Linked DNA regions of Lepisosteus oculatus. The protein of the gene in region 1 purifies or fractionates together with the protein of each later gene. This does not show direct contact. Links are inferred from orthologs where the notes say so. Each region holds a gene or a part of one and is shown on either strand. Other genes may lie near its edges. The genes, in order: pheta1 and ocrl.

What was found.
Region 2: the proteins of pheta1 (region 1) and ocrl purify together in Homo sapiens (co-immunoprecipitation; 5 studies listed by BioGRID and IntAct, counting the BioPlex papers as one, with this or other methods). This does not show direct contact. The link is inferred for Lepisosteus oculatus from reciprocal best matches to the Homo sapiens genes PHETA1 and OCRL.

Annotation. Positions count from the first base shown.
Region 1 is NC_090717.1:12,852,434-12,860,352, reverse strand, and holds the start of pheta1 (sesquipedalian-1), read right to left. Parts: upstream 3,121-7,919; 5' UTR 2,727-3,120; intron 2,720-2,726; exon of another isoform or gene 2,320-2,719; intron 647-2,319; 5' UTR 531-646; intron 1-530. Other genes in the region: phosphatidylinositol 4,5-bisphosphate 5-phosphatase A, read right to left, coding at 7,517-7,919. UniProt on the Homo sapiens protein: Plays a role in endocytic trafficking. Required for receptor recycling from endosomes, both to the trans-Golgi network and the plasma membrane.
Region 2 is NC_090703.1:50,395,854-50,403,217, reverse strand, and holds the start of ocrl (inositol polyphosphate 5-phosphatase OCRL), read right to left. Parts: upstream 3,137-7,364; 5' UTR 2,490-3,136; coding exon 2,442-2,489; intron 1,250-2,441; coding exon 1,170-1,249; intron 1-1,169. Other genes in the region: protein eva-1 homolog C, read right to left, coding at 4,570-4,970, 5,390-5,479, 6,164-6,235, 6,695-6,838. UniProt on the Homo sapiens protein: Catalyzes the hydrolysis of the 5-position phosphate of phosphatidylinositol 4,5-bisphosphate (PtdIns(4,5)P2) and phosphatidylinositol-3,4,5-bisphosphate (PtdIns(3,4,5)P3), with the greatest catalytic activity towards PtdIns(4,5)P2.

The DNA.
Region 1 (7,919 bases):
CTCAGGAGTTGCTGATGCTATTTATCTATTTCTATTTTATTTTTTTAGGAGTTATAGATACATTAAAAGCACACACAGGCATCCGAACTGTATGATGGGGATGTATCTCTAATTGATTACATTATTCCTTATGGATATTTATTCCCCTAAATCATTTCACTGCATTATTTAGAAACATAACCTGGACTTATAACAGAATCCTCTATAATAAATTTGTTTAGCCACAAGTGAACACACACTCAGTCTAAATTAAGGTCCCTAACCTGACTCTATTCCAATAATTCTTATGGGAAAAGCCTCTTACCTGCTTTGAGCCGCACAGCACAGTATATGCTCTTACAGTCTCTAAACCCTCCTTTTTCATATTGTTATGATTCATTTTCTGTCACTCCTGCTCTCCAGAGGGTATAACCACACCACAAACTTTAAAGTAAGATCATTTAGATCATTTTCACAGGTGTAGTGGACAGACCTCATTATTATACCCATGAAGCACCATGGCCATATGAAATAAAAGCAGGTCTACTCACGTTTCTTTTCCATTTCCTGAAGCACACGGACACTACGGAGCAGCCAAGAGGCCTAAGGACACTCACAGCGCCCCAGACCAGAGGAGGCGGGACTGCTCATTCTCCTCTGCTCCGTGCTGAAAGAGGGAGCACACAGCGGGCTCTGACACACCGGAGGAACAAAATGGTGGGGGAAGAACAGCTCCTTTTTCCGCTGAACAAAACAGGCAAAGGGCAGCAACATGACGCCACGCAGCTCCTGCAATCACTTTGTTCTCACACACCAGAGCTTACAGCACAAAAATGCTTACATGTTTATCGAAACATACAGACCCTGACTAGAAGTTCATCACCTTGACAGATGCCACTCTCACTTCCTCCATGGAAACGTTTTCCACAGTTCCTCCCTTCTCTCTGGCTGCATGAGATCACCCTGTACACACACACTCCCAGAAGGAGATTCACAGAGGGTCTTGATCTGATGAGTGCTACAGTACATCAGGAAACCCAAACCTCCTCTCTTCTCACAGCAATAAAACATAGATTTTGCAGGTCAAAGCAGGTCTCTAGGAACCAGGGCAAAACCCATGGCAACACAGGAGTTACAGGCAAACTCCACATGGAAGGAGGAGAAATAAACGTTCCGGTAAGCTACTGTTTATTTTCTGCAGAACCAAATAAGAGTATTTCATTTTTTATCCAAACCGTTATAGTTCAAGTTGGTTTGGGAGTGTTCATTACTTAGACGCAACTGAAAACAGTTACCAGGTCATAAGAACATAAGAAATGTTAACAATGAGAGGATGTTGTTCTGGTCATCTGGACAATCGGTAGTTAGTAGGTTACTGATGCAAGGGATCACATCCCGACCTTTCTCGAAGGAAGCCAGGACATTGGCTTCAGCCACATGGTATGGTGGTTTGTTCTAAACTCCCTCAGTCCCACAAGCGTTTGGGGAGAGATGTGACTAAAAAAAGATTCAGGAGTCACATCCGAGGCCATTGGAACATTTATAGGATATTCAGGATCACCTGAGACAGCATTTTCCACCTCCACAATCCAAGCACGGTTGAGTTGAGTGGATGGGCTTTCTTGTGGAAGAACTGTGTGCCGCTTCCCTCTTGCAGAATCCAGACATTGCCGGACGGTGGACCCGTCCCGGCCACACGCAGCGCCTTATTATAAAGTGACTGTACACTGACGTTTTCATTTTTTTTGTGCACTATGTGTTCTTGCTAGCGACATTAGTACAATGGGATGACTTCCGTCTGATCTTTCAGGTAACTGACAAGATTCTGCTCGTTTGAAAATCTGTGGTTATACAGTGTTCCGCGGACTATCTACCTATAATTATTTCATTATCTCTGATCACTCGTTTATTTACTATTTAACCAGTTTAATCATACTTAGCCTTCAGGGCGTTACAACATTAAGCGCTGTCTGACACACATCCATTCGTGGCTCAGCTGCTGGTTTGAGCTTAATTAAGCCATTTCTCGACCTGTGAACCCAAGACACACATAACGTGCGTCTCTCGACACATTTGCGTTTATTTATCTCGGCTACAGATAAAGTTTCGCTTTCCACGGATTCAACACACGTCCTTTAAGATATGAAAGAATGACACACTTGGTTACTTTTTCAGATCTTGCTTTCTGAGGTGTGAGATGTGTGAAATGTGTGATACACACACTTCTCCTAGCGTGAGAACATTACTTAAAACTTAATAACTCAGTGCAAGAAAGAAATTCTTGTATTAACATCATTCCAGTGTTACACGTATAGTGCATGTAGGTGCAAGAATACTTACAGGATTTTTCCATTGTGACCACAAAAAATAGCTCCACTAAGTAACACGAAATTAAAACGTCTTCCTTAACGTTGCTCCCATGTAACACATTAGACATTTTAAACCGAATCACAGCAACAAAAAACAAGTTGTATTTGTTCTTCTCGATTCCTACGAAAACAAAAGATCTCGCGTGTCCAGCGCTGGGTACATTTTATAAATACCCCGATGATCAACACATGCGCAGTTTTGTTTCTGTTTTCATTTTCAGGAACAAAAAAAAAAAGTCAAACGCAGTGATTCCTAAAAAACACAGACAGCGGATTACTTGGTAGAGTGCAACAGACTATTTTTTTTTTTACAATAGATAACCATGCATTTTATTAAAAAAAAAAGCCTTCATGTTTAGAACGGGGCAGTAAACTTACTCGGTCCGCCGAAGCAGGCGGCTCCTCCGGCTCGCTGTCGGCGCTGCGGGCGGGGGGGCCCGTCAAGGACGGAGGGAGACATGTGTCGGGGCTTGGGATTTCATCACAGCGCCTCACTCCGTGCCATGCACGCCAACGGGTTGTTTTTCGCCTCGTTAACCCACCCCACCCGGGCACAGACGATCTTACGGAGCAGTTTTACTCGGGCACTGAACTGAACTGATGACACGTCCCCCTTTTTCCTGTCTCTGGCGCTGATGCGCGTCACATGACTGGAGTTTCGACCAGGATGAAGTCGGGGAAATGCCAGAGGCAGACTTTGCAATGGAAGTCCTTCAGACCCTGTTTAAGACGCAGCGCAACGCGGTTGTGCCGACCGCATTTCTGTTTCTTCCTGCCTGCCAGAATAAGCAAGAAGGAAGAGCGCAGTTCTCCTGCAGCCTTAGTGTTTGCGGAGCACTCGTAGACTCCGCTCTTTGTAGTTATTTCAATGGCAGAAGCACTGCTGACACAAGCCTGAACAAAATACAATGTTCATAATTCAAATTGCTAGTATGTTTATACATATATATGCATTCATCTTTCATTTCAGGATTGCAAGGTAATACAGGAAGTCTCAGTTTCATGGTCTTGAAGAGCCCCTGTCCAGGCGGTTTTATAGAATACCATCAAACCTGGTCTACTTCTAAAGTCCTGGAACGATTTTAGACTATAATTAAAATAATTAATTGAAGAGATCACTTGGGCTAAAAGAATCTGAATTCCTTCCCTCAAGGACCGCAGTTCTATCCATTTTCTAACTGCTTCTTCCAGTACAGGGCCACATGAACATGGAACAAGGGGAGAACGTACAAACTGCACACACAGCACCCCAGGTCCAGAAGTGAACCCAGGACACCAGCTCTGCAAGACAGCAGTGCTGACCACTGCACCAGCATGCCACCCACCTATTCCTTGGAAAAAAGAAAAAAACCTTGCTTACTTGTTTTCAATGTTTAGAAACTCGAGATTTACTAGATTGAGGCTTTCCAAAATCAGGGTTGTAGGTCTAACATGCTGCCTTGTCATCCTCTGCTTCTTCTTATTAAAATGACCAGAAAGTATCCACACACTCCAGAAGGCTTTATAAACATGGTCTCTAATGGGACACAGAATGTGAAACTTTAGCCCCCGTTTACACTGATATGAGGTATAATTAGATTAACTCGATGATACAGGAGAACAGTCACTGCAGTTCATGAAAGCATTTAGCAGTCCTGGCCTACAGGAGAAAGCATTTGAGATGCCATTGCAGAAACACGTCTGACAACCTTTTCAATCAAACAAATATTTTTCCTGTTTAGTGAATTGCCTCTTAGCCACTGTTTTGCACCTCACAGACTTCTCCGTCGCAACACAAACAAACAACAAAAACATTAGGCTGCCGTCGCGTCATCCAGGTGGGGCTGCACACTGGTGGTGGTGGAGGGGAGTCCCCATTACCTATAAAGCGCTTTGAGTGGACTGTCCAGAAAAGCGCTATATAAGTGTAAGCAATTATTAAGGAATTATTAATTAGGGTAAAAAAACATTATGAGAAACAGTCACATTTTGAAAAGGATTTTTTTTAGCTTTATTTGGAGTGACAGAGGTGGCACAACAGCAGGGTGACTGGAGAGCTCCCCTGTTTCCACAGCAGGGGCATCACAGCACTGCATTATGGGTGGAGGGAGTGGGTGCATCGAGCATACTGCCTCTCGTTGCTCTGGCAACAATCACATGATCCAGGTTTGCTAGTGTAAGAGAACAGCCTGGACTTCACAGAGAAAGACAACTTCAAACTCACACTCGTGCTGCACTGCTACTGCATAAGTCCCACTGCCCTGTGAAAATCAAAATGATCACACAAATTTCACAACTCTGTCACCACTGAGGTATGCAATTCCAAAGATATCTCACGGAGTACTTTCTCTGTCTTGCACAGAATTGAAATGATTTCAAAATGATACAATAAATATAATTTTTAACAATTCACTAGTACAGATTTTGATTCAGGATTGTACACAGACGAACACAGTTTCAGCCCATTATCTAGGTATTCGAATAAATAAATAAGCACAACAAGAAAGAAGAAAGATCATGGTCATTTAAAAATCCATTATGTGTAATAAGAGCTGTGAAAATTGTAATAGCTGTGAAAATATGACCACCCAGAAGAACATATAGTACAAACATATATACAACAATGTACAGGCAACAGTTTTTATTCTTACACCAAAGAAGGAGCCTGAGGACAGAACAAAAACGTATCCCCCAAGATATGTTTCCATGCTTTAATGCTGAAACACAAGCAGCGAAGGACAAATGGATACCACACTTTCACAGCAAAACCCTGGGAGCTACAGTAAAGGTGTCCCAGACAACTCTGCCCAGCCATGATTTACTGGTACTCTGCTAGCTGCAGCAACCTGCACTGCAAAGGAACATCTCCATGGCTTCAGCTATTCAAAACTCCCTCAGACATTTCTATCCTTCACAGTGATGGGGCAAGAGGAATATGTGAATAAACACCCAGGTGTTTCAAGTTCAAAGTTAATTAAGGTTAAGGGGCTTCAGAGTGCAAAAACCTTCCAAGTCTTTTGCATGGCATATACTGTAGGTTTGGCTACAGTTTGGAGATTGCAAGCTGGACTCCAGAACATACTATGAGACAGCATGGACCCGATTCGTGCCAGAGGTCTGCTTCAGTAAGGGCAGCCCTCTCAGTCTGGCTGTGGCTGGTAACTAGGGTAGCTAGTTTAAAGGAAGGATCTGGCTCAATGACTGAGTCTTCAGGAACAGATTGCTAGTCTCCCCGTGCTGTTTAATAAGTTTAATAAGGAAGTCCATCCACCCATCAATGTTCTACCCACTTTCCCAGCAAGAAAGAGACACAAGGCATGATACACCCTGGACAGGACTCCAGTCCATTGCAGGGCAGACAGACACCAACACCACAGGGCCCGTCTTCCCAGAAGCCAATTAACCTACAGCATGTCTTTGGATTGCGGGAGCAAACCAGAGCACAGGGCAAAAGACCCATGATGACGCAAGGAGAACACACAAACTCCACACAGTAACCCAGCAATTGAGCCAAGGGCCACAGTGCTGCGAGGCAGCAATGCTAATCACTGTGCCACCAAGCTGCCCTTAATAAGGAAATGTGTTATTTAAATTGGCTGGAAAATAATAGGCCTGTTCTTAGTCAAGAATGATCAAGCAAAGGGAACTTAACTTTAAAAATGTTCATGTTCTGCATGTGACACAAATGTGCCCAGCAGTGCAAGCAAAGTAAGTTTAAAGTCTTTTAAAATGGGAAGCTTTTCTTCTCCTTTAAACCATTTTTTAGGATTCTGCTGTGCCCCCATTTAAAACAGAGCACTACTAGTAATGATGGGACTGAAATCTTCACCTTCATCACTGTCAAATTATGACCATTACGTTCTTTGCTGTTGGTTTTTAATATTTTTTCTGTTTTGAGGTGAAGTCTAGGTTATTCTTTATTATAAACACAATGATATTACCAGAAAAATGTATGCATAAGTTCTGAAGTGCAGGTAATAATGATCTCAGGAACAAAATTGTGTTTTTACACAACTCCATAGTAAAGAATTAGAGTTCAATTCACCATTCAATGAGCTGTGTCCTTCTCTGCCAAAATCATTATATTGACACTGAGCTGCCCACCCGACAGAAGGAGCATTGATTTGCAGAGACTAATTAGGTTCCAGTTATTGATAAGTTCACTGCTCCGCTGGATCATTTTTTATATGGCTTGATTGTTATTTTTAATGAAAGGTTCAGTAGCGCAACAAGAGAAACGACTGAATAAGGTACAGTACCTGAATCAATTACCTACTGACTATCAAACAGGCTAGATGGGCCAAATGGCTTTCACTTGTTTTTATGTTCTTATAGCACAGCTTTACACAACATCTACTACATGTGAACAACACCTGCCGCGGTACACCGTGCTGGAAGGTTCACTAGGAGTTACACTTGTTACTCAACCTACAGCTATTGAAACTGGTGCCTTTCTATTTCAGTGCGAGTGAGAGAAGAGGGTAGGGCTCCATTTTCATAGAGGCACCGATGTCAGCTTTATTTGCCTCTGAGATGCACTTACTGTGGGAATAACCACTATATAAAAGAGTCACATACAACTTGGATTTGATTACTTGATTGTCATGAAATTCTAAATGCCAATAAACATAGTGGCAAAAGAAAACACAATTCTCAGAAAAAACTGCATTAAGGTAGCATTATTACTAGCCTTATTTCAAGATCTCATGCAGTCAGACATTTCTGATTGACGTCTTGTGCAAATGTTCAATGACAGAAAAAAATGTCATCATATCACCAGTGTATGAGACTAGTAAAACTAAAACCAAACTTTTCTGGAAACATTCACATATTTTGCAATACTGACAGAAACTCACCAAATTTGTATGAACAGACACGTGTAAAAAACCTGGCATTTTTCTTGTATTCCAGGAACAGGGAGCCAGGAGGTGAAAAAAAGGATGGTCGAGACAGTGAGGTAAGAGGAGGGATAGAGACACAGACAGGAGGAAGCAGAAGGAATGTGTTCAGATGGTAGAGAATTGTTGAGGACAGTCACAGAAGCAGGAGGCCTACTTTTCTCCTGACTCATGTGGTGTCAGGAATTCGTCACTGAAGGAAGCGGAGCAGACCGCTCGGAGCATGTCAAAGTGCCAAGCCAGACTCCACGGGGCCTGGACCCCGCTCCTTATCCCAGGACGTGGGGCCTGTCACAACGCCGGATCCTGGCGCTCGCCTGAAGCCTTCCACCCAGAGGCAGGACCCTCAGAGGGCCCGCGTTCCCTGGCGGAGCCGGGGCTGGGCAGGTCCTCTGGGGCGTTGACTTCGATGCTGGGAGTGCTGGGGCTGCCGTCGGGGTCCTGCGGGAGGGGGCAGCAGGTGTCGGGGGACTCGTCGGACTCGCAGACGAGGCGCTCCCTCTTAGCGCCGGTGCGGGGCGAGGGGCTGCGGGCGCCCGTCTCCCGGGAGTGAGGGCGCAGGTTGAGGCCCTGCAGCCGGGGCAGCGCCGGGCTGCGGCTGCGGCTCCGGCGGCCCCTCTGCTTGGCCTTGCCGGGGCTGGGGCTGCGGGACTTGGGCCGCAGGAGCACCACGGTGCTGTCGTCCTCCGAGCTG
Region 2 (7,364 bases), on another chromosome or scaffold:
CCCATGAGCACACTTGACAACAAAGGCCTCTTTTCAGACAGCATTCAGCAGACCAAATTGATAAAAGGCCCTAGTTAGTATATTATTATTGGAGATAACATTTTATTCTATCTGTGAGCACAGTGCACTAGGGGAGGGGATGGCACTCCGCCTACAGCACTGCCCACACATCGCCCTGTGATGCAGAATGACAGCCCACACCAGTCTCGTGCCGTTCGCAAAGAAAAAAAACCGAGACGCTGTCAATCGCTTATATTACATGGAAACTGAGTGAACATCTGTCTGCATGAGTCAACAAAGTCATGAGCCCAGCTTCTTGGCTGGCTGGAACTGTAATCCCCTAAAAACAAACGAGTGAGCAGAAACGGTGCTGCTCTGTCCTGCGTGTCTCAGCGCACCTGACAACCAAGCAATATTCTATCCCAAAGCCTTTTCAGAATGGAAAATACAGATGTTTCTTTCGGGCAGGACAATGGCAGAGTGAGACGCACTGCTGCCTTGAAGCACCGGGGGCCAGGGTCCGGTTCCGGCCCTGGGGTGCCGTCTGTGTGGAGTTCGGACGTTCTCCCCGGGTTTGGATCACACGTCGAAAGACATGCTGGTGGGTTAATTGGCTTCTGGCAAGGCTGGCCCTTGTGTGAGTGTGTGCCCTGTGACAGGCTGGCGTCGCACCCAGGCCGTGCCCTACCCTGCCCCTGTTGCCTGCTGGGACAGGCTCCAGCTCCCCCACCACTGGATGAAGCCGTGACAAAGTGGAGGAATGCATTTCAATTCCCACACAGCCTCACTAGCAAGAAGACCCTCGGGAAGGCCTGTGCCCGCCGAGCCCCTGAAGGTGGTGCTTTACTGCTGGAAGTGTACCCTGAAGCCGAGTTTTACACTCGCAGACTTCTGCAGCCGGCAGCACCAGAAAGCTACTGCACTGTCACAGGTGCCAAAGTGCAATGCGTACTCCTGGGCCCAGAGCACACACCCTCGGAGAAACAGGACAAGAACACAGGAATGGCGACGAGGACAGCGCGTGGAGCGCCGCCTCTCTACTGTCCCAGCCAGCCAGCCAGCCGGTTTGGGCCAGACGGCGCCTGGCTCTGTTCAGGTTCGCGGAGACTCTGCTTCCACACTGGAGACCAGGCCTGCATGAGGCAGCACGGAGAGGAGAAGATACTTACTTGTACTCCCCTGCGGACTCGATGAGGGAGAGGAGCCTGGGCTCCTTCTGTCCACCTCTGACCTCCTGGGCTTTCACGGTGTGAGGCGGCAGGTTAAGGAGGCAGGGCTGAGGGTGGGGAAGGAGGAGGAGGAGGCATGGGGCATTGCTACCTCATGTCTCTTGTCCTGAGCCTCACACAAATGAGGCACTAACCTCTTCAGCGTGCCAGAGCGATAAGGAGGAGACTAGCAGTACGCCTCATCCTTGCAACCAAACCACAGCGCCAGAGCTGGAAACCGCACACATCTGCAAGTCACCCACCACCAGCCCCGGGCGACCCCGCGACACCAGCGACGAGAACAAAGACTGCCCGCGTCTATTCCTGCAGGTAATGTATTTTTAAAGGGTTCTGGCAATCGGAACATTTTTATTAACGCCAAAAAACAAAATTCCTCACGTTTTCTCCAGCCATGTACAAATCCGCGGCCGTGCCTACACACGCTTTCCCGCGTCCCACCGGTACACGTTTTCGGGATCAACGGTAAACACTGATCACAGACCTAGCCACACGTTTTTGAACACAAACCAACCTTGAATGAAAACGCTCACGGTGACACTGCAGCGCGCCACAGCCGTCCTAACTCATGCCTTTCGTCATAACGTGTGCAGACCCTGTCAATGTCGGAGATCTCCTTTCAAACGACACAGGGCGGACCGTAGGGAAGAGCACTCTGACCCCGAGCCTACCTGCGCTTTACAGCCCGTCAGGATGTCGCACATGACCAATAAACCTACACTGCGTGCACGGAGATTGATTTTCACTGCCAGGTTCGTGCGGCCTTTGAAGACGGCGGGGAGAGAGATAAGGACACAAGGGCGTATCAAACACACCCCCTCAAGGGCTGCTGCAAGACAGATTGACTGACTCTGGGTCCAAGCCGGCCTGCTTGCGTGGGTGCCTGTCAACACTGCACCGGGGGTGATGCCCACAAACTCAACGATTCGTGTGATCAAGCTGTTTCTACGGCTGGATTATGACTATTGAACATCACCTTCACATATTTCAATGCGGTTCGACATATAAAAGCACCGTTCTTTTTGTTCCCCTTTCTTTAAAGAACGATTAAGAGATATATTGACATTTCTAAACGGGACGTAAAGTGTCCGGCGTAAGTCACCTGCGCTGCATATTATCACAACTTGCGTGCCTCCCTCACTAACACGAAGACGCATGGTATTTCTGAGGCAGGAAATACTCGGAAAACAAAAAAGTACAGAAATGAAAGGATATTGCAATACATTGGCTTTTGCAGAGTCCGAATGCTGAAGACGTCTCCATCAGCGACTAAGGGTGTGATGATGGTCACAGCTCGGCCGTATTTTCTTTTCTTTCCCCAGGTCCCGTATTTATTTGTGGCACACTCCTCCCCCGCAGTCTGCTCCTCCAGGAGGAATGGTAATGAAATGCTGGAGACCGGGGTCTGGCAGAGCCGACAAGCCGGGGCTCTCGGTCTCCTGCTCGGGGTTACCAGGCGCACGGTGCCTTCCGAGGTCCGACCAACCTCGCTCACAATACCTGTGTCCCGGGAGCAGGGCCGGAGTAACACAACCCGATCTTCCCCCTCGCCAAGAAAACTAATCCCGAGGCTCCCGCAGTCCGCGGACTGGGTCGTGTCTGTAACCCGCTCTGGCTGCCCCGGAGGTCAGTGTTGTCTTGCAGCCCTCGCCGGCGAGAAGTCGCATGTCCTCGGCTGCGCCCCCTATTCGACACCGCGGCGCACTCAGACTCTCCCAGGCCCCGGCTCCAGCGCCTCCGCTCCCACTCGACAGCTGCGCTTTACCTGGAAACTGGAGCCGGATTAAAACGGCCGAGCGACAGAAAGAGTCCTGGCGGTGCGGCTGCAAGAATATACCCCCATTTCCGAAACTTACTGCCCTCTACCGGCTGGGAAGACCCTGTCTTACGTTACGGGCCGCGTCAAAGAGACGCGCACAAAATCGGCGTCTCCCCGAGTTACAGAAGGGGCTGTGCTCCCCAGGTTTAATTTCTGACACGGTTAAAGAAAGATAAATTCCTGATTACTGTTTTCTTTAAAGAAATGCACATGTTAATAATGCAGGTGGGTAGCTGCGTCAGCATGCGTAGGCTGCAAAGGAACAAGTAATAGGTTTATTTCATGCTGAAAAAAAGAAGAAAGAGAACACAACGTTTCGGCCGTGGAGCCTTCTTCAGGTGTCAAACCTTGACACCTGAAGAAGGCTCCACGGCCGAAACGTTGTGTTCTCTTTCTTCTTTTTTTCAGCATGGAATAAACCTATTACATGTTAATAATGTCAGCAAAAGAGGTGAGGTCGCCTCAAGTCAAGTCCAGGTTATTTTATCGGTTTTCTTTCGACCAGCTGACCAGCGATGGAGTTTTCTTCGTGGGGCATATTTCCACGAATTTTTGCTGCTGTCATCCAAGACTATTTCCCACACAAAGCCGGTAACTCCTTAATCTCGTCACTTTGTTTTGTCCCAAAACTGTCTGATTTTGAATGTGAGCACTTTGAACTATCCGTCTGTAATGAACTGTATCTTAGACAACTGACAGAGACGACAAGTAGCTGTTGACGTGGTATTTTCTATTATGGATCCAAAACTATCATATCAGAAAACCGAATAAAATAAAATGTACAGATAACAACCACATATTATTAGTTTTATTTATTATATTTAGAATTGTTTTTTTCCCCAATACAAAGCAAGTAATAAGTGAAAAAACATGAGGGAAATATTAAAAGGTCAATATATAAAATACTTTTTACATGTTCATGATTTAACAAGAGCTGCAGATAATGCATTTTACATTTTAACTGTGCACTATGGTACCACATTAAAAAAAAACTAATTGCTGATTTAGGTACAAAAAATATTAAAGGAATAATTCATACCATAATTTTGATTTAACATTTTAGGCACCAGAGAAATGTTAACCAGTTCAGTACTTTATTAATCCATTCAATATCTGTAGCATTGAAGTTCATGTTAAACTCTGAGACAACTGTACAGCTACTGTACATCACATACAGTTGTTAATTGTAAACAAAGGCTTTTAATTTTTTTTTGTTAGACAAATGCTCACAAACCATGCAATAATAATAGTAATAATAATTCTCATGCCTTCTTCACAGAAATAAAGTTTCAGCGCTCAAGAGGTTTCCGGGTGGGTTTTTTTACGTCTCTTTCTTTACGGTGGGGCTCTCCGGTCCCGATCCGGCTGGACTGCAGCGTGTCTCCAGGTCCTGCAGGCGTCTCTGAGGCTCCAGCCCCTGTAGAGAAGCTGGGAGAAGCTGCTAAAGGGGTCCCGTTGAGCCCGTGATGAGCTGATCCGGGTCACTCCGAGCCCGGCTGTCCCAGAACTCCGGCGTGCCGCTCCCTAGGGGCCGGAGGCCTGGATCTTGTGGATGGCGTAGGGGCTGGAGTCGCCCGGCAGCCACATGTCCCCCTCCTGCAGCTCCTTGCCGTCGCCCCTCTCCTCCATTTCCACGGTCAGCTCGGAGCTGAAGAGGGTGTCGGCCGTGCGGTAGGCCCAGGTCAGGCGGCGGAACGAGGAGTCGGAGGAGCTGTCGTCCTCCAGGTCCGCCATCAGCTCCCGCCGGGCCGGCGCCAGCGCCGCCGCCTTCCGGGCCAGGCGGGCCTTCCGGGCCACCTCGAGCTCCAGCCACAGGCTCTTCACGTCCCGCAGCACCATGGACTTCAGCCCGAACACGCACAGGAGGAAGACCAGGCCGGCGCAGATCCCCGAGACGAAGTACAGGGCCACCGTCTCGGGCAGGCCTGGGGAAAGAGCCGGCAGGGGCGGGGCTCGTCAGGCTCGTCAGGCTCGTCAGGCCCGCCGGGCCCGCTCTGTCTGGTACAGCTCAAACAGGGACGACACCAGCACCCTGATGGCTGCCAGAGTCAGTGTTTCACACCAAATAGAACACACCGTGTACAGTAACAGAAACAGAAAACTGGGGGGGATTGCTAATATGTAATAGGATGGGTAAAATAAGAACCGGCATGCAGACTTAGTCCTTCCTCTTGTTGCGTTCATGGAGCTACTGCCTCTGCAGTGCCCTGGGCTCGCTGTTTAGGAGCCACTAGAGACCTGGACCTTTCTCCACACACTCTCACTTTCACTCTGCCTGACGCCCAGACCACACTGAACCAGACACGGAGGCCCCTGGGGCTGAGCACAACACACAGCGACGTACCCCAGACTCGGGCAAAGACCTCCAAAGCACTGGTAAAAACCACCACCTTCCCATGAAGCCTGGACACTCCGGGGCCAGTGTACCAGCCTCCTGTGGGTGAAGAGGGACTGGGCTTAGGGGCCGCTGAGAAGGCCAGACCAGTATGTCTAACCCTGCGTGTGCCGTGCTGGGAGCCTGCCAGCGGGGGCACCTCAGGCCGTCCTGCCTCAACCCCGGGGACGTGCAGAGCTCTCAGCGAAGGCAGCAGATGGGCCGTGTATCTCTATTGATCGCCTTGTGATCTGCTGTCATTTCCTTCACGCTGCTCTGGGACTGAAATATGGCATCTCTGCTGGTGAGCCGGCGTGTGCAAGGAAAATGACAGAGATGTCTTTTGGACACGGATTCTAAACGTTGGCGTGACCAATAAATAATGTTAAATAACCCGTTGAGTTTAAGCAAGATGTATAAAATCATCGCTTGTTCAGATCTTTTCTTGCTAACACTTTAAAGATCAGGAAAATGGGAGAAAAACCAAGATAGTTAAAGAGTCAGCGATTATTGATACAAAAACTAGGGGCTCGCACGTTTTGGCCTATTTTCCTCGATATCCATACTCATAATTCACGAATGAGGTGCCACAAATGCTGAACCAGAAAGGAGTGTTCTCGCCACTGTGGGTTTTGGAACCCTTTGTCTCGTGTCCTCTGATGTCTGGTGTGGATACTGCAAGCCGCTGTCCGATAAGAGCGCTGATAAACGTGAAAGCTCCAGGACAGCCCGCGGGTCTCTCACCGTGAGTGTAGTCGGAGATGGAGAAAGGGTCTGGAGAGCCCCGTCCCAGCTCCTCCAGGAGAACTCTGGGCACTGGAAGACAGGGAGAGTCACAAACACAAGGGAAGGAGCCCTCATCTAGAGAACTCGCAAAAAACATAAAAGGCAAGCTGGCTGACAGACAGGGATCAAAATCCCAATGTGCAACTGCCTGAGGCAGATCGTCAGGGGCTTTGATTACTGATTACAGGAGGCTCTTATTTACACAAAGTGTGGTGGGAGTGTGGAACAAGCTGCTCAGCTTTTCTCTGTCATGGAAGAAGGGGAAGAGGTGGGATGAGATCTAGGACCAGTTGGCCTCTAGCAAAAAAGAGCTAGTGAGGCTGAACACTCTCCTCTCCTTTTTCTCATCTTTCTCCAGTCCTCCTTTTCCTGTCATTTCAATCTATTCAAATTAACCGTGGACATTGACAGATGCAGGGCAAAGGCAGGCCGCAAAATTTGCCCGTGACAACAAATATTTAAATTGCGTTTTTACCCAGTCTCACTCACCACATGCATAGGACACACGGAGGTGCTTCTTCATCCCCGGAAAACAGGGGTCGCCGAAGCTCTGCGTGTCCGCGAGTACCGAGCAGTTCGGTCTCCCGTGACACCTGCGAGACACCTTCCTCAGAGCCGACGGGGACAGACACTCTGCAAAGCACCACAACAATGCAGGGTTGTCCGATCGGCCTCATTCATACCGATTGTGCTGCTTTATAATCGTGTTGTTTTCTTCACGTCTTTTTTGTTAATCCGAAGGTACTAACGTTTTTTTTTCTTCGATGCAATGCAAGTGTTCGACACCGAGTCGACGAAATTTAAATGACAGTGCGATGGCAGGTGTTATCCACTAGAGGGGGCAATTGCTCGCAAACAAAAAATTATGTTACTGCCCCGTGTGAAAAGCTTTTCGCTTTTACGTCTAATGTGAATGGGTGTATTTATTCTCTACATTACCCTCAGCATATAATGCTATGATAAAAAAAAATGTATTCATTGAAGCCGATAAAACATATCGCCAAGAAGCTCCTTCTTCTAAAAACCTGGGGTGCCCACAAAGTGACCTACAAAATCTGATGCATATCCTGGGGTCCAAGGTGAGAGCTGTTGCGCTCCTTCAGGTACATTTGTGAGCGGCCGCTAGTTGCTGGGTCCGAGACAATCCTTCTGCAAACTG